Linked DNA regions of Drosophila melanogaster. The protein of the gene in region 2 interacts with the protein of the main gene of each other region in a pairwise test. Each region holds a gene or a part of one and is shown on either strand. Other genes may lie near its edges. The genes, in order: ECSIT, Sec22, CG2694 and saturn.

Region 1 (3,635 bases), on a different chromosome or scaffold from region 2:
TTCCTCGTCCACTGAGGTGGTGTTGTGGCCATATTCGATTTGCTCAGTGCGTCGCGTGGGTTCCAAAGAGGAGGAAGCGCTGTCGTTTGTAATCTCGTAGTCGCGAAATACTCCACTGTCCCCGATCCAGGTGTCAAAGCCGAGATTTGGAGAGGGAGAACTAGTAGCCTTCAGCCGTTTTTTGAACTGCATCATCTTCTGCGCCACATCGTGATGCTCGTGGCTGCTTTGATTTTGTTCCTTGCGTCGCTTGTTCTTGTTTCTGTTCTTGTGCTTGTTTTTGCGTCGCCTGTGATTCGGATGCAGCTTCGTCTCCACATAGCCCTGCTCTACCCGTCTCCTCTCCCACAGATCCGATGGATTTGAGAAAAGAGCACCATGGTGGTCAGTCTCTTGCAGCAGGTTGTACCAGGCCGTCAGTCGTTCTCCAATTTTGGTGCCGCGGGTTTCGAAGCCCTAAAGTGAAATAAATGTTGAATCATAAATATTAATCATGACAAATAATCACATTATAAAGTGATCAAATAAGTCATATTAGTGAGAAATTAATCTTATTATTTTCCACAATTTTTACAACAATAACATAATAACAATGAAAATATAATACAGGAATAGTTTGTATACAAGTAATCCTGTAGTTTCTTATAGCAATTCTGTGAATATTTAAAATATTTTAACTTCTTAATATTTAAAAAAAATAGATATATAACGAAATTTAAATAAAATAATATCATTTAGACATTTTCGGATTATTTCCATGTGCTCAATATTTTAAAAAATAATTGTAAAATAAGATAAGATATATTCTCCAAATATCAAGCAGTGAACATGTTTTGGACAAATCTAATAGGACAAACCAAGGTGGGATCACTGAAGTCCGGCAGCTTGTTCAGGACGAGGGCCACGATGATGCAAGCGACACAGTAGACAGCAATGGAGACGACCACCAGGTAGGGACGCCTGGCCAGGACGTGGTAGTACCAGTTCATCCTCTCCGAGTCGAAGCACAACATGTCAGTAGAATGTGATGCCCGAATCCTCTTTACCCTCTTCGCATTGCGGGAACATCAAATGCTCCTTGGGTTTCCGCTTCCCTTCAGTGCATCCTTGGCGGCTGGAAGTCTCGAATAACGTTGGGCTGGTGGGTGCTCCTTGGGACCAAGCCAAAGTCTATTGTTTTGCTTCTGTTATAGATACTGCCTGCTGGTCAGGCCTCCGCCGCAGAGATCGGCTTGTTGGATTGCATTTTTATGTAGGCGCGCGCCCGTGCAAATAACTCAGGGTTCGGAACTAACTTAAACAACAGAAAAACAACCGAAAACTATGCGAATAAGGATAACGCAGAAAACGGTGAAATAACAACAAAAAGCAGCACAAAGGATACACTGAGTTAATACAGTGTTGAGCAACTCAGTCACCAGTGATGATGGCCCTAAGCCAGACAAACAGCTGTTCTCCGAAGGAAGAGATTCGTGAAGGTAGTCACAATGAGCTTATGCAATATTCACTTCAACTTTTGTTACTAGCGTATGACTTTAAGCGTGTATTACGGTCATGACACTATTTAAGCTTGAAAATCTTTGGGTACAGCCGAAACTAAATACAATTTTTCGCCCTAGAATTTACCAAATTTGGCTAAATACGCTAGACTATCGGCACTATTAAAACATATGTTGCAGCAGCAGTGCTGCAAAACGCGAACTAGTTCCGCAGCTTGTGCAATGTTTTGTAATCGTATTTGCAAATTTATTCAATTAATTAATTATAAATAAAAAATGCTGCGCCGCGCACAATGCCTGCTCCGGCTGCACGGCAATGGAGGCCATTCGCTGGTCAGCCGCTTTCGAAACTACGCTACGGACGAGGGAAATCCGAAACAGAACCCGAATCCAAATCCCAGGGCACAAAAACCCGGCACCAAAAACCTGCCGGCTTTAAGGAACCCCTTTGCCGCCGCCCAGGACAGGACGAAAAACAGCTACCTGACCATGGTGGAGATATTCCAGGAGCGCGACGTCCACCGTCGGAACCATGTGGAGTTCATCTACGCGGCACTCAAGAATATGGCGGATTTCGGGGTGGAAAGAGACTTGGAGGTCTACAAGGCCCTGATCAACGTGATGCCCAAGGGCAAGTTCATACCCACCAACATGTTCCAGGCAGAGTTCATGCACTACCCCAAACAGCAGCAGTGTATCATTGATCTGCTTGAGCAGATGGAAGATTGCGGGGTGATGCCCGATCACGAGATGGAGGCGATGCTGCTTAATGTGTTTGGCAGGCAGGGACATCCACTGCGCAAGTATTGGCGCATGATGTACTGGATGCCAAAGTTTAAGAACCTATCACCGTGGCCACTGCCCGATCCTGTTCCGGATGATACATTGGAAATGGCCAAGCTGGCGCTAGAGCGGATGTGCACGGTCGACCTGCGGTCCAAAATCACGGTTTTCGAGACCAGCGAGCTGAAGGATGCCATTGACGATACGTGGATCGTGAGCGGAATGAGTCCCGAGCAGGAGAAACTGCTGCGGGAGCACTCTCGCCAGAAAGCTCTGTACATCGAGGGACCCTTTCACATATGGCTTAGGAATCGCCGGATCAACTACTTTACCCTGCGCGCTGATGCAGATTCTGAGTTCCTGTCTGAATTAGATGAGCGGCAGCTGGACGAGGACGATGTCTCCCACATCGAAGTACCCTTCTTTGGTCGTGCTCCACCAAGGCGACACAACCAGCTGGGAAAGCTGCGCTCTGTCCACCAACAGGACGACGGAACCATTATGGCCATCTGTGCCACAGGCACCTCCACAAAGGACTCATTGCTCTCGTGGATTCGCCTGTTGGAAGCGAACGGAAATCCCTCCATAGGAGAGGTGCCCGTCCTCTTCCGGTTCACATCCGAAGTGCCAGCCAAGGCGGAGGAAATTGAAGGTGGCGCCAGTGTCCCGGCAACAAGTGATAACAGTAGTCAAGATGAGCACATTAGCAGTAGACAGAAATAAACAAATTGTTGAGCACTTTTTCGTCTTTGTATACCATAGAATTGATGGTAAATGTTGCTTAAAGTTAGTCGGTTTTGATCATATGTACATATATATGTACATCTGCTAGAAGGAAAAAAATTAATACTTCGGTAATTATTTATACTCTTTGGCTCGGACGCGAATTGAAAGCAACATTGTATGCATTTTGGGGTGGATTTTAATGAAATAAGGTTAATTGAGAAGGATTACTCACAACATCCGATTGTGAGCCGAGCTTAAACGAAAAATCACAGAACCCGAAACTAAGTGTACAGAAGATCTGCCTAAGATTTAACGCCTCCCTCTAATTGCTAATTAAGTATATGTACATGTCATCTTTGTTTGAGATATATAGATATGTCATTGGAACTATCCATCTGGCCCGCTTCTCTACTTTATGCCTGTCTTGTTGACCGGAAACACCTGCGTGACAACTCCGATTCCTTTGCTGGTGCCCTCGCGGAACAGGATGCGCATTCCAGGACGCACGTACTCCGGGTGGCCGACGAACTCGAACATCACCGAAGCACAATCGTTTGTGCCCAGTCGCTCGCCGCCCATAATGCCCCGAATGACGGCCGTCTGGCGAATGCTGCCTATGTGGACTGT
Region 2 (4,566 bases):
TAAAACTTCGATTTTATAGACCGCGTAATTTATTTTCGATCCCACTCACCACCAGAGCTTCAGCAGAACCACAGCCTAGTACACGGAAGCCAGAGGAGGTTGCAAAATTCGGTAGATGATTGCTCTTCTCCCCAGTTAATTAATTATTGCAGACCATTTCACACATCCCCCCCCACAAAGCATATGCATTCATATGTAGTTATGTAGAGAGCGTATATATGTATTCGGATTCGATATTTCACAAAACTATACACACCAAATTACGATATAGCAGTGTATATGGCAACAGCGCATTTTTTTCCTAATTGTAAAGATTTGATATTACAAATTTATATGCGCTGAGACGCAACGAAAACGGACATTTAGCGGGACGATATGAGACCGAATGGGATCGGGATCGGATCAGATCGAGAAATTCATTGAGAAGAATCGTAATTCGAAGGCTTGCAAGTGGATATAAACTATAAAGGCGAATGTATCACATCACACTCAGTGAATCGAAAAATATATAAAGGGAAATTATCGATTAAAACTAAACCAAAAATCAGATGCAGTTTCTATCTTTCGGGCTTGGGTAGTGCATCGAACACAGTTTTGCCTTCTCTTTATTAAACAATATAAATTTATTTATTTGCCTTAATTTTACACATATAAATTGCCTAAAACTGTTATTGTTTATTTCCCTTTCTCTTCTTTTCTTTTCTTTCGGTTCGCTTGTTATCTTTTCTTTTTCTTTTGTTTTTTGCGGTGTTTTTGCAGCTTGTATCAAGCACTCCGCCGGATTCGGATTCGCTATGCAGCGATCCATCTACAATCTAGACATTTATACACACACACACGGATCGACGCTCATAATTTACAGATTTGGGTCGTAGTCAACCGACTTGGCTCAAAGGTCGTCTAAACTAAACCCGATTCGTAATCAAATATTTAGAAAACCTGCGCAACGGAAGCGCGAGGCGAAATGAAATGGGAGTTAATAATTAATGGAATCCCAGACCGTAAATAACGCAAAGGTAAGTTAATATTAGAAGTAAAACAATCCTCGGGAGCGATGCGTATGCTGGTAGGGGGTTTCGCTATTCACTTTTCGCTTGCCTATGATTCATAGATATGAATGAATATGGTGTGGTTGGTGGCGTGGAGTACAGGTGCACGCGTAATCTAAATGTCTTTTGGTCTTGCGTCCTTGACGCTTGACTCCAACAAAGAACGCGCCGCTCCGAGTGGCCATGGAACTGCTTGATATTACAGAACCCAGAAATACATGATGAACACTAGAAGTATCATGCCCAAGGCCATCGCCTTCACGTACATGGACTTTCGGTTGAGCAGCTTGGCGTCCTTCTTGTACTTCTGTGACATCATCGATAGGTTCTGGGTCTTGGTGTCGAGTTCTGGAAGGAAAAACGGGGTGAACGTCAGTTGAATCCCACAATCACGCGTAGATAGTCGCGTAGATAGTAGTAGTAGTAGTTACCCGCCAGCACTGTGCCACGTTGGAGCACGTCGTCAATGTTTTGCACCATGATGCGCTGCACATCCTGCAGCTGTGTGTTGATGTTGCTGATGTTGCGTCTGCGGTCCGTCAACTGTTTTTTCGCCTTCTGTATGTACACGTCAAACTCGATGAATGCGTATGGGCGAGTCACTGAGTTTACTCGCCGGCCGTAGTTAGCATGGAACTCCTGGGCCAGGTCCTCCAGGTAATTGAAGGCCAGTCGCTTTGAGTACATCTTGTCCACCATCACCAGGTAGCAGACGTCGTTCTCGATTAGGTAGCTGCAGGGAAAATGTGGAATATTTTAATTGGGGCGCCCATTGCATCTTCTGGCTTTCGCAAGCAGTGAGCGTTTAATTTAACTTCGTATCAAATTACATCTATACTCTTTGTTCCGAAACTAAATCAACTGTCACTGACTACCCGCGGAGCCGAGAAACCTTTGTACATGGTGTGATTTTAATGGTCTATGCCCTGGCAAAGGTGCCACGAATTGGGGCTACTCACTGGAATAGGTAGGGTCCGGTCTCGATACTGCATCGAGCCGGGGAGTGGGTACCCAGCTTGCGGAAGAGCATCTTAGCCTGGTTTTGGTAGTCCAGTATGCTGCGTCCGCTCTGAAAGTGAAAGCGACTTAGTTGCGGGAGCGGAACGGAATGCAACGTATTAGAAAGTGATGCACACGGGTACCTGCTCGTCATCCTGCATGGTCCCCACCAGAGGAAGGCCATCGATGACCCTGGCTATCATGGTCAGCAGCGCCATGGCTTCTGCTGTTCCTGGTTACGATTGCTCGCGGAACTACGGGGCTGCGTCTCAAGTCTTCTTGGCCACGGCTGCACTCTGCCGTCGCCTCCTTCCACTGGCTGCTACTTATTCCGATGTGGATCCGCTGCAGTCCAGTCACCAGTGTGTGAAGTTTGTGTCCGGTCGTCCTCTTCCACTTCTTGGATTTCACAACTCAGCCGATCGGTCGGTGCTTGCCGCAGTGCTCCTGCGATGCCCGGGACTTCCAAATGGACTCTGCCTCGAATCGGGAACGTTCGCTGCTACCATGAAAACTGTGTTGCAACGTCGCGGCGGGCGGGTGTCTGGGATTGGAGTGGATTGGAGGTTTCTGTGGATGTTTGTTGCAATGTAACCACGTCACCGGTATGTCCGTGTAAATATACCGAATGGTGCGAGGCATACCGAATACCGCAGAGTATCTCAGAGTACCGACCGCCAACGGTCACATTAACGGAAGTCCATTATACCATTCGTTTCTTCGTTTCTTTAAATGCACGATATGGAAATACGCTTTCAACTCGTTTTCAAGCCAGCATGCCCCTGAAAATGGCGCTTTCGAGTTTCCGGGCTTTCCCGCAAAGCTATTTTCCCAGGTCTACAGCTTTGACAGCTTGCGCTCTGCTGTAATGTGGAGTTTGCTTTTTGTATGCGTGTGTTGTACACAGGATGCGGATTAAGGATCCCCAGAAGTTCAATAGAAGTACAATACTTCGATTCACCCATGAACCTGGCGCCCAGATGCATTGTTCTATAGCTGTTTTGAGTCCCAATCCGACCAATTGGTCTTTGGTATTTTTATTTTTTATATTGGCAATCGAGTTGCGAATATATTATTTCAAATATTTAAATATAAATAAATATTTATTTAAATTATTAACCAACATAAATCGAAATCCCTGGCACGTCGCGCCGCTTTCGCAGACTCAAATCCGCTGGCGCAGATGCCGGAAGTGGGTTGGACCCCCCAAAAGTCGATGACCAAGCCCAACCGGTTCGCCCGCGAAGACCATCCTCTGCATGGACATCCACATCCATCCCCAGAAGGAAAAGTGGTTCGCCCGCGAAACCGGACTTGGACTTGAGGCAGGGACCCAACTATATGGACTACCTGTGGTACTTGGCGATGGAGCTGCGTGCGAATGTGCGTTTCAAGCGACCACCGGAAAAATCTTTGCACTGGGAAAATAATTCATATCGAATGCGACTTATTCATCTATGTATATTATGAATTGAAGCCCTGCAAGCGAATGCGAATAACCATTCCCATTTCTGCTCATACCGAAGAATGCTAAGATATACACAAGTTTGTGATCAAAGCGGGAAAGCTTATGACATTATTTAAAATGCTTGTACTGTGATCTTAAATCGAATGCATTTCAATTAACTCTGAGCCCATCGAGGACTGCGGTCAACCTATTTTCTCATCGTGTGATCGGATCACCCGCAGCGGAATGCGTGCGCTTCCGTTTTGCTCGGCTTGGCCTCCTTCCTCGTTCCGTTGAAAGCAGGTATGTATATATAAGCCACTGCTCCACCTAGAGGCTCCACAATACAAAGTCAGTCATGGCCGGGTCAGTTCGTGCGACGCTCCTGGGTCTCCTCATGCAGATCCTGTGCAATGGGCTGGCTGGTCAGCAGCTGCTCCTCACACGTCCCCAAAGGAGCCTGTTCGAGACTCCGCTGGGTCACGTAGAGCAAGTGGAACAAGTGCCCTCTTTAGGCTGGAATAGTGTTGGTAGTGGACTCGGAGTGGGCGAGTGGCCCTACAGCCCCGTTGGTCTCGGCCACATGAGCAAGGATGAGCTGCTGACCCTGCTGGAGGCCTGGAAGGAGGTCGAGGAGGAATCGGCCACAACAACGACTGCGTCGCCAGCGGATGCCAGCACACGTAGACCTCCTCCGCCTCCACTGCCACCACCACCACCTCCTCCGCCACGACCCACACCCATACCAGTCTCCGTTGCAATCCCGTCACCGGCTGTTCCGCCCTCCGGCACTCCCATTACAGTGCGGCTCCCAGCCTTTGTGCCTGTGCGTCTGGCTGCCGTGTTTACTCCGCTTGCCGGTGGACAAGCTGATAGTGCTGTTCCGTCTGCCAACGGAGTCGGAGGGGCTGGAGGAGATGATTTGTCCACCGATGACGTGACAGATGATGACGGCGTCTCTACCCGGCTCTTTCGCTTTTTGCCCATGCCAGGAGCTCGAACGAGACCGCAATCCAATTCACAGCCCAGGCAGCAATTTGTGGTGAGGAACACCCTGGACAGCGTGGATGC
Region 3 (5,795 bases), 1.9 Mb from region 2:
CGCTCGAGAGGGGCGAGTATGACGACGAGTACGACGACAGCTACGAGGCTCAAAACGAGGGTCAAGCGCCGCCTGTGAGTCTGCTGCGCGGAAGGCTCCAGGAAGCCGCCTCCAGTTCGGCGTACAACGCACAGGATGAGCTGGAGAACGACGACGAGGAGAGCTCCGGCGGCCATTCGGACCCGGAGCCGTCGATGCGCACCAACAGAGACTTTTGCGAGAATCCAGAGGTGATACGCGCCCGCTACGAGCAGCGCCAGTTATCCAAATACGGCCAAAAGAGTGGTGGACATGGAGCGAGTCCCTCTGTGGTCGGAGCACCCAAGGGCCAGGGGCAGTCCCAGCAGACGCAGCGCAGTCGTGGCCAAAAGGAGGCCCACAAGTCCACTCGTGCCAATCATAATCGCAAGGCAGGAGCAGCCTTCAAGCGCAGCAAGGGCATGATGGGTTAGGCGCAGCGCAGCTCGATAGAGGGGATTTAGATTGAAATAAAATTATCTAAAATTGGTGTATCTGTATTTGCATTTGTATAATTGTCGTTTTCATTTTTGGGGTGCCATTAACAAGAAGTTGGCAAACAGAAAATTCTCACAAAAACAAACAAACAATGCCTTCCATTTCTTCAAACATGCGACTATGATGGTTTCTCATATTAAATTGTTTTGATTTCTCATTTGATTCCGTAGAAAAAAAACAGCGACATGCTATTTCAATAGCCACCAGCGTTCCGACGAGACTTACTGTAGTAGTATTCACATGTAATTTGTTAGTTAAACATAAAAGTATATACTAGTTAACACGTAGACTAGCTGACGAACGCCTTCTCGGGATTCTGGGGCTCCGTGGAGCCCCCCATCCCATATAGCGCCATTGTACAGGTTATAGAAGTTTGTATAAAATGTAGGTAGGTATATAAAGTAGGTCACAGCGTGTTCGTTTTCACTGGAGGCTGCTCCATTTTGATGGGGCCGCCTTCCATGGTTGTTCATATAGTACTTATAAAATATATTCTTCAAGTTGTGTGCTAGCCGCTAGACAGCTGCCAGCTATTCCGTGGCGGCTGTCATCTTCGCGAACATTTCGTTGAGTAGCGCCATCTTCGAGGAGTGTGTGACGCCCCCCTCCGCGCCCAGCTTCAAATACTTGTCACGGATGAAACACTTGAACGGTGTCATCGTCCGATCGGAACGGGCGCCCTCGTGCATGTTCGCCTTGCTAACGGGCTTCACGCTCACCTCGAACTGGCAGTAGTAGCAGCGTATGTTGTACGATTTCAAGTCGGCCAAGCCGTAGGAGGAACGGCTGCACATGCTGCACGTATACATGAAGCTAGCTATGCACTCCATGAGGGCGGGCACCTCCGGAAAGGCCATCTTCGCCTGGTAGGTCCTGAGGAATGGGCACAGATAAGTGATGACACATTAAATGTATAGAAAGTAATGATCTTACCATCTGCGGCAGTTGTCGCCGTGACCCAACTCCCGGTTGAACAGGAAAGCCGCCACATGGCACATCTCGTGCAGCAGGAGATAGATAAGCTCGGCCGCAGTGTCTATGCTGTGCAGAAGCAGGATCTGTGCTGTGCGCCTGCCGGAGGCGTCGAAGCCAAGCTCGCATTTCCAGCGCTTCTTCATTGCGTGCTTCCAAACAATGGGCACCTGCAGGCCACAGTGGAAGACCGCGTGATTGAACATGTTGAACAGAACCTTGGCCAGTGCCACCTTAGATTGCTGGAAATTGGTCCGCCGGAAGGTGAGGGCCAGCGGATGGCACATGTTGAGCGAGACTGACGGTCTGAGCGACTGGACGAAACCGTAGAAATGTGGGTGCCGCTCCAGGCGGGCTACACAGCTCTTGTGGCGGCGGCAGTTGGTGGCTAGTTGCTTTTGGCTGGGAAGCTCGCTTAGATCAATGGGCTCCTTGACAGAGTCTGGTGTTTTCTTCTGAAAGCAGTCCAAATTCACCTGGATTATAGAGTCATCCATGTGCTTAGTCTGGAGCTCATTCACGGTCGGTGTGTAGGTATGCGATAAATTCAAGTTGGAGCAAATGGATGTCGGCGTTGTTTCCTGCCATATTCGTGACCTGGCCGATGGAGTAACTGGGCTTGGTGAGGACCTAGGTGATGGATTGGTAACAAGACTGGTCGGTACGTACACATCCATCTCAATATCCCCCCGATCCATATTGTATTCCGACGGATCGAAGAGCTTGCGACGTGATGGAATCAGACCCAAAAACTTGTGCATCTGCGTCTTGAGTTCCTTATCGTCTTCCAGAACGATATTGGGCTGTGGTTTATCCCTAATGATCACGATTTTGCCGCCCAATTCGACATAGACCATCGGAGGTGTTGCCTCCGGCGACGAGCGGCTGCCATCGGGGCTGAAGGCTAAGCTGGTGTTTCTAAAGCTACGCCGTTTGCGCTCCGTCCACTTGAGCTGATCGAAATCTTCTCCCTCATACTCATCGTCGTCGGCATCCAGTGACACCTCGTCGGAGTCCTCCTCGCCATCGCCCTTCGACTGGGAGGAGGAGGAGTAGTCAAACTGCTGGTTCGGACGTGAGACCACAACACGACCACTGCGCGTCACCACGGGTTGATTCGAGGAGATGTTCATCTCGTTCAGATTCTGGTAAGCTGCGTAGTAGCAATTTAGTAAATGGTTTAGCTAGAGCAGGTGCCCCTAAGGTTGCAGATCAATTCGACCTCTTACTCACAAATCTTTTTGGCCAACACATCGCCCTTGGTCTGCGGCGATCTGCGCTTCGCGCCCAGTTTGTGTGTCTTCATGTCGGTTTCAATGGCACTAGGATCTATTGCATTCGCAGTGTTATAATTATTATTGTTATTACTGATTGATCGGCACTCACTGCTGCTGCCCGAATCAAGTGAGAGATCGATGTATGAGGAGTCCTCGGTGAACTCCTTGCGCAGTTCTTCGAAGTCGGAGGAGTTACAGAGCTCGGACGAGTGAAGGAAGCTGCACGCCGTAGCTGAGGAATCATCGGACACTAGTATTATGCTTCCGCTGTCGCTGTTGACGGTCGCAACTGAAGCATTTTGATGGGCTTCCACCTGGGGCTGGGATTGGGGCGTCTTGCACGGCAACTTCAAATGAACCAGTGCCAATTCGGATTGACTGGCCGGCATGGGCGCTGGGTCGCAGCCAATCTGTGCGTTGTCATGGTCCTCTAGTTTCCAGTCCTGGAGCAGGCCGGCCAGAAGGATGTCCTCCGAATTGGCACTTGGCTTCGCGGACATTTCGAATGCGAAATCGAATTCGTTATTTTGTTTGCGGCTTTGACTTTTTTCGATTTGAGGTAGCGGCGTTATTTTCCTATCGTATATCGACACAAATTGCTCGAATGCCAGTGCTGAAAAACAACGGCACGAGAAGCTCTGTAAACGGCAATGTTGACTGATAGCGGGAAAGTTTGAGGCCGGTTATTGGGATGACTTAAAAAGCACAAGCACAGCTAGTTGCCTGCATGAATTTAGCTTGGGCTGCCCGATATCCCATATTCCCATAACCAGACCCACTTACCTTTTTTGGCGTTCGGCTCGTCGTCCCCGCAGCCTGGCCAGAGACGCTTCACGGCCAACTTCGGTGTCTTCCCCTCGCCATGAATGGAACCAGGACCTGCATCATGAAAACGAAATGAAAATGCAGGTGTCAAGTAGATAACATTGTTATTACCTATGTCCCACAGCTTGCGGCTGTGCAGGTTCTGCAATTTTGTGCTCTCCGTGGTGGGCACGTCCTTCTGGCCCTCTCCCGGCGTGGAGGTAAGGAAATCGTCTGAAATCCTTATCAGCGCGCCCGGTATCTGATTGGGTGTGAATAGGACATGGGATTGCGACGCCTTGCACGCGGTTACATGAAATCAACCAAATGGGCTTAGGATTGACTGACCTGGCTGGCGACTGGTTCACATCCTACCTGTACGCCACTATTGTTCAACTGTGCATTCATCCTTTCGTCCGGAATCTTTAACTGCTGTGCAGAGCTCTCGAATGCCATCGTACTGGCAATTTCGCGTCTGTTGCCGCGTTACCTATGTGGCGGTAATAATCGTCTATCGTTTTTCTAATCCTGGCTAGTGATGAAAAACATCGGAGAAAACTTTTGAGCGTATGGGATGTTAGCTATTCCCCGCCAAATTTTGTTGGTCACACTTCGAGCTCTAGTGCTTACTGTTCTGTTTTTATCGATATCAGCCTGCGCGTGTATCGGCCTATCGAGCTGCAAACGAATAAATAAATAAAAATATAAATAAATCAATTGAAAGTGATATTATAAAAGCAAATTAGGACGTTGGGCAGGAAAAAAACGCCGGTAACAATATTGCAGCGCCGGCGTTTAGGTGAAGTCATTCGTTTAGTTGCAGCAACAAGAAATAGCCAGCAAGATGGGACGCCGCTCCATAAACACCACGAAGAGTGGAAAGTACATGAATCCCACGGACCAGGCGCGTAAGTATGATCCTTTTTAGCTCGATATGTTGAATCCACCATGCTGCACCTTTCAGGCAAGGAGGCCCGCAAGAAGGAGCTCAAGAAGAACAAGAAACAGCGCCAAATGGTGCGGGCCGCCGTTTTGAAGAACAAGGATCCTTCACAGATACTTGAGGAGATGGAGAAGATCGACGAGATGGGTGAGTAGTCCATCGAGCCTGCAGGATTCGCGTCAGCCACTCATGCAGCGTCTACAATTTGCAGAGTACAACGTTCTGCAACCATCGCCGCTGAACGAGAAGGTGCTGCGCGACAAGCGCAAAAAGCTGAAGGAAACATTCGACCGCGTAATGCGACTCTATGTAAGACCAACTCGGCACGATAATAGTGTAGTCCACCTAACAACTGAAATATCCATCTTCCAGCACAATGACGAGCCGGAGCACTGGGCGGACCTCAAGCGCAAGGAGGTGGAGTATGAGAAGAAGCGCCTGAAGAAGCAGCAGTACTACGAAAGCGTTAAGCACGCCCAGAGCGTCCAGATTGACGAAATTCCACTGCCCGCTCCGGTGTCTGCCGTGTCAGGCGGTTCTACCGAAACGACTGGCGGATCGGTGGTTGCGGGATTCGGCGCATCCGTTGTCATACGCCTTCCCCCACCGCCCATGACAATGGCACTGCCGCCTTATGCTCCAGGCGCTCCACCAGGCGTGTCCAGAAATAGCGATTTAGCCAGCGAGGCGCAAGTGGAGAAATCGAAGGAGAACGAGCAAAAGGATTGGCTGGGTGTCCCGCCGGGACCGCCGCCAGATCTGTTTGCCTTTTCCGAACTCAATTCCGATGCCGAGGGAAATACTGACTACGATGGTGAGGGCGAGGAGGAGGAGCCAGAGCCATTGAAGAAGGGCAAGGATAAAGAGAAGGACAAGAACAGCGAGGCCACCGAGCCAAATAACCAAAATATCGACGACTTCATGAAGGAAATGGAGCATGTGCACAAGCGTAAGCATCGAAAACTGGCGGCTAAAGAGGACGAGGCCGACAAAAAGCGGGAGGAGGACGATGGGAAAGATATAGATAAGATAGAGGAACGAACATCTGACTCCGATAAGAGAACCGCCAGCAGTACGGACGATGAGGACGACGATGACCAGGATGAGGATGAAAATATGCCCGAAGTGCCGACCAAGCCAGCATCAGTCAAATCATCTACAGCGACACCCGCGCCAGCTCCTCCGACAGCGCCCACATTGCCGACTATTCCGCTGCCACCAGCGTCGTCTGTGCCTGCGCCGCCACAGCTGCCACACCTACCGCCAATTCCTAATCTTGGGCC
Region 4 (3,444 bases), on a different chromosome or scaffold from region 2:
TGATGGTACTGTTTTTCTTTTTTATCTGGCAACTCTTTTACAATCCCATACACTTTCCCATGCAACTTGTTTGCTGCCAACATGTTGTTCGGCGATACTAAAAACTAAAACTATGCAACATCTACAAATCTGGCCAACAATAAACATTCTCATGTACCTATTAGATAGATGGCAATTACCTAAAACCGAAGCCAAATTGGCGACAGACGTACTTTCAAGCCGTTTTCAGCTGCCAAATAATTCAAATACATGCAGGGGGAAAAAAACGGGAAATTGTCGCCAGGTCTGCCAAATAGCCAAGAAATGCAAGCCAACTGCCAAACAATGTTGGGCCCCCGCAAAGTGGCTTGGAAACTGCCTCGATTAGGCAGCCGGCCACCTTTAAGGCTAATTGAGGGCCAACCACGTAGACTTGGGAACTATGCACGGGAAAACAGAGATACACAATGAAATAGGTGAAAATTACCACGAAAGACAATTGGAAATCACTTAAAGCCAAAACGCTTGCGAAGGCAAGATGTCAAGGTTGGCATAGGGCTATAATGAATTACGATCACAACAAGTTTTATACAAATCACTATGAATGGTTTATTACAAATTCGAGCACTACAATTTTAATGAAATTTCAATATGAAAATTCCTGAAAATAGATCTAGAGCTTCCATCCCGTTTTCGTGTTTGAAGGAGATGACCGTTTACGCATATTTCTATTTTCCACGGATACATTATTTTCAGCTATAATCTTCGTGGGTTTCGCTATATTAATGTGCTTGGTCTCATCTTTGGCTGGTTTTCCCTGATCTGTTAGAGCAAATCGCACCCTATTTTTTACTACGGAATCTTCTCGAGGTTCGGCGTCTGGAATCACAGGCTCCGGTTTATTTTCTTCTCGTACTAGCGCTTTAGTTTCACTAATTTTGTCGAATTCTGGGGGGAAAGGATCAAAGATTTCTTTAAATTCTGAAAGTTTGTCATCATTTGCGTTGGACTCTGGTTCATCCAAGTAATTAATATTACTCCTAATATCATCAGAAATCGCTAGCGGCGGCTTGGGTATTACGGTCGAATTTAGGGCTTCTTGCAGCATGGCCATATCCTTGGTTACAAACTTAACACGTTTTCTCAGTGACTCAATCTCCGACATAGGCACCTAGAACAAAACCCTATTAAGCCCCTTCTACTGTACGTTTTCCCCCCCCTTTAACTTACATCGTTCCATTTGTGTTTGAATCTTTTAAATACAAGTAAGAGGAGTACGATAAGGACAATCGTAAGAATCACCAGGTAAGTTGGTGATCTTTCCAATACCAGAAGTTTCAACAAATCAATGCCTTTAAGAGTAAACCAACAAGCCGATGGCCAAGAATTGCAATACGGCGATATCTTTACCGATGTTTCCAAATCAACTTTCTGACGATAGTTCCACATTTTGGGCCTGACTTTTTGTTAGTTTCTATCTGTAATTTAGGTTGTATTAAAACGGATAACCAACCGGTGATGTTATCACTTTTATAATGTGATTTGAAAAGTATTTTCTTTGCTTGCTAGACTGAATTCAAATGACAACATTTAAAATGTTCCTATGTGGAAAAATATTCGTTCTTTTAAAGAAAATAATTGTAGAATTCCACTCATTCCCTTTCCTTTTTCAGATAAAAATCTTTAACCTCTTCCCACAATTTTCCCTAATTGTTCTCGGTTCTTTAATGCATTTTCCCCCACCATTTCCCAGTGCAGCTTTTTTGAATGCCAAGTGCAGAGAGTGGGAAAAACATGTTCCCAGCAGCGGAGCAAAAACAAAGGCATTTGCATGACAAATTCAAGTCGGCCCAAGTTGTAGTTGCTTCGAAAAGAGTAGAAGCCATGGGAAGAACATCAAGGTCCGGAAAGTTGACAGAGCAACCACAATTTATAGCCTGCGTGGGGTTAACTGATTTGCACACGCCTTAAATGCAGACGATTTTAATTACTTTATCCGATTTCGTGCATAATTTTCGAAGAAATGTTTATGAAAAAAATTTGTTTAATAATTGAAATGCTAATCGATATTGATCGATGCTCTAGTAATGATCTAACTATTACAGCCTTAGTTTAATGATCAAAATGATCAAAAGTATATAACAGTACATAACGATACGAGATAAATGTGTCAGAATCGATAACATCAGCAGACTGAGTTTTATTTTGGGTCAAATTTTGTTCGCGACTTGACAAAAGTGCCGGCCTAAATTCTGAAGAGTTAACAATTGCGGCAAGTTAAACCTGTTTCTGGAACCCTCTCACTTCACTTCCTCCGATCGGATGAGCGAAAAAATAAATTCCAACAGCATGACAACCCCATCGAGTCAGCCAACTTGTAAGCCACATCAAGAGGGAAGGAGTTGGCTAAATTGAGGGGAGACAAGAAAAGACCCGCATCTTCTACCTTCAACCTTTTCGCTCGGTCCCCGAGAAAAGTTCACAAAAGCGGCCAAACTACTTTTGGCTCAAGAAGATGGCAGCAGGAAGCACGGTCGCCAGTTGACAAGCAGAACTGCCAAAGGAAGTTATATAAATTGCAGCAGATTCCATCTTGGAGCTCTCTCATTGTACTAACATAAATCTCATGCTGTTAATCTGATATATTTATTTTACTTTCGTTTTGGTTTCAGTTGCAATTAAGTCCCAGAAAAGAGAGCAATTTTTTTTTCGGTTGTAACTTTTATGACAGCCTCCCCCGCCGGCAATAATCATAAATTTTAGTTTTTGGGGGTGGCAGCGTTAGGAAAGCTCTTGAAAATTGCCCAATTGAACATCTATGTAGTTGTACAACAATTGAAACAGGCGAATAAGATGGGAAAAACTGATAACTAATTTAGGCAGAAGAAAAACAAGCAATTGAGCAAACCAGCTAATGGAAAATTGGGAAAAAAACCAAAGGCAACTTATAGCTGAAATTAACAATCTTAGATAAGCGAAGTCATGGAAACGCTTGTGAAAACATCAAATGTGATGAGGACAAATACTGAATTAAAAACTATATATATATATTTTTTAAGGAGCAGTGCACCAATAATTTTTTTAATTAAGATAAATTATAAATATTTTTATTTACAAATCAAAAAACCAAAACCAAAATGGAGCAAGAATGGGGGTTATGATTTATATGAAGCTCTACATGAAACCCCGAAAGAAATTATATTCAAGGGTGCTTACTGTCTCATGGATCCCCAACGACGCTGGGATAAACTATCAGGATTGCTGTAAGAAAAATTTTTATCAATTGGGATATCTAATAATAGTCTTATTCGGTTCAGTTTTAACCGCAATAGAAACATAGCAATATAGCAATCTTTCTAATCATCTTATTTTCTTTTATATAAGTTCATATATAGAATGAAATTTACGCCTAATTTTCCAAATATTTATATAGGCAGTTATTTAGAATTATTTAAAATTGCCAAT

The links.
Region 1: the proteins of Sec22 (region 2) and ECSIT interact in a two-hybrid assay, tested with the Drosophila melanogaster proteins (one large-scale study listed by BioGRID).
Region 3: the proteins of Sec22 (region 2) and CG2694 interact in a two-hybrid assay, tested with the Drosophila melanogaster proteins (one large-scale study listed by BioGRID).
Region 4: the proteins of Sec22 (region 2) and saturn interact in a two-hybrid assay, tested with the Drosophila melanogaster proteins (one large-scale study listed by BioGRID).

What each region holds. Positions count from the first base shown.
Region 1 is NT_033777.3:5,854,896-5,858,530, forward strand, and holds ECSIT (ECSIT), read left to right. Parts: upstream 1-1,689; 5' UTR 1,690-1,775; coding exon 1,776-3,005; 3' UTR 3,006-3,019; downstream 3,020-3,635. Other genes in the region: disp (dispatched), read right to left, coding at 1-456, 858-1,013; CG2017 (uncharacterized protein), read right to left, coding at 3,417-3,635. UniProt on the Drosophila melanogaster protein: As part of the MCIA complex, involved in the assembly of the mitochondrial complex I. Involved in the innate immune response; promotes the production of antibacterial peptides.
Region 2 is NC_004354.4:804,185-808,750, reverse strand, and holds Sec22 (secretory 22), read right to left. Parts: upstream 2,676-4,566; 5' UTR 2,267-2,675; coding exon 2,186-2,266; intron 2,119-2,185; coding exon 2,009-2,118; intron 1,783-2,008; coding exon 1,481-1,782; intron 1,398-1,480; coding exon 1,249-1,397; 3' UTR 551-1,248; downstream 1-550. Other genes in the region: CG13358 (uncharacterized protein), read left to right, coding at 3,854-4,566.
Region 3 is NC_004354.4:2,712,360-2,718,154, reverse strand, and holds CG2694 (uncharacterized protein), read right to left. Parts: upstream 4,077-5,795; 5' UTR 4,026-4,076; coding exon 3,945-4,025; coding exon of another isoform or gene 3,918-3,944; exon of another isoform or gene 3,868-3,917; coding exon 3,702-3,867; intron 3,645-3,701; coding exon 3,549-3,644; intron 3,379-3,548; coding exon 2,875-3,378; intron 2,818-2,874; coding exon 2,722-2,817; intron 2,642-2,721; coding exon 1,450-2,641; intron 1,390-1,449; coding exon 1,047-1,389; 3' UTR 501-1,046; downstream 1-500. Other genes in the region: CG2701 (uncharacterized protein), read left to right, coding at 1-452; CG2685 (uncharacterized protein), read left to right, coding at 4,414-4,477, 4,534-4,659, 4,724-4,821, 4,885-5,795.
Region 4 is NT_037436.4:14,201,418-14,204,861, reverse strand, and holds saturn (saturn), read right to left. Parts: upstream 1,540-3,444; 5' UTR 1,429-1,539; coding exon 1,210-1,428; intron 1,151-1,209; coding exon 653-1,150; 3' UTR 568-652; downstream 1-567.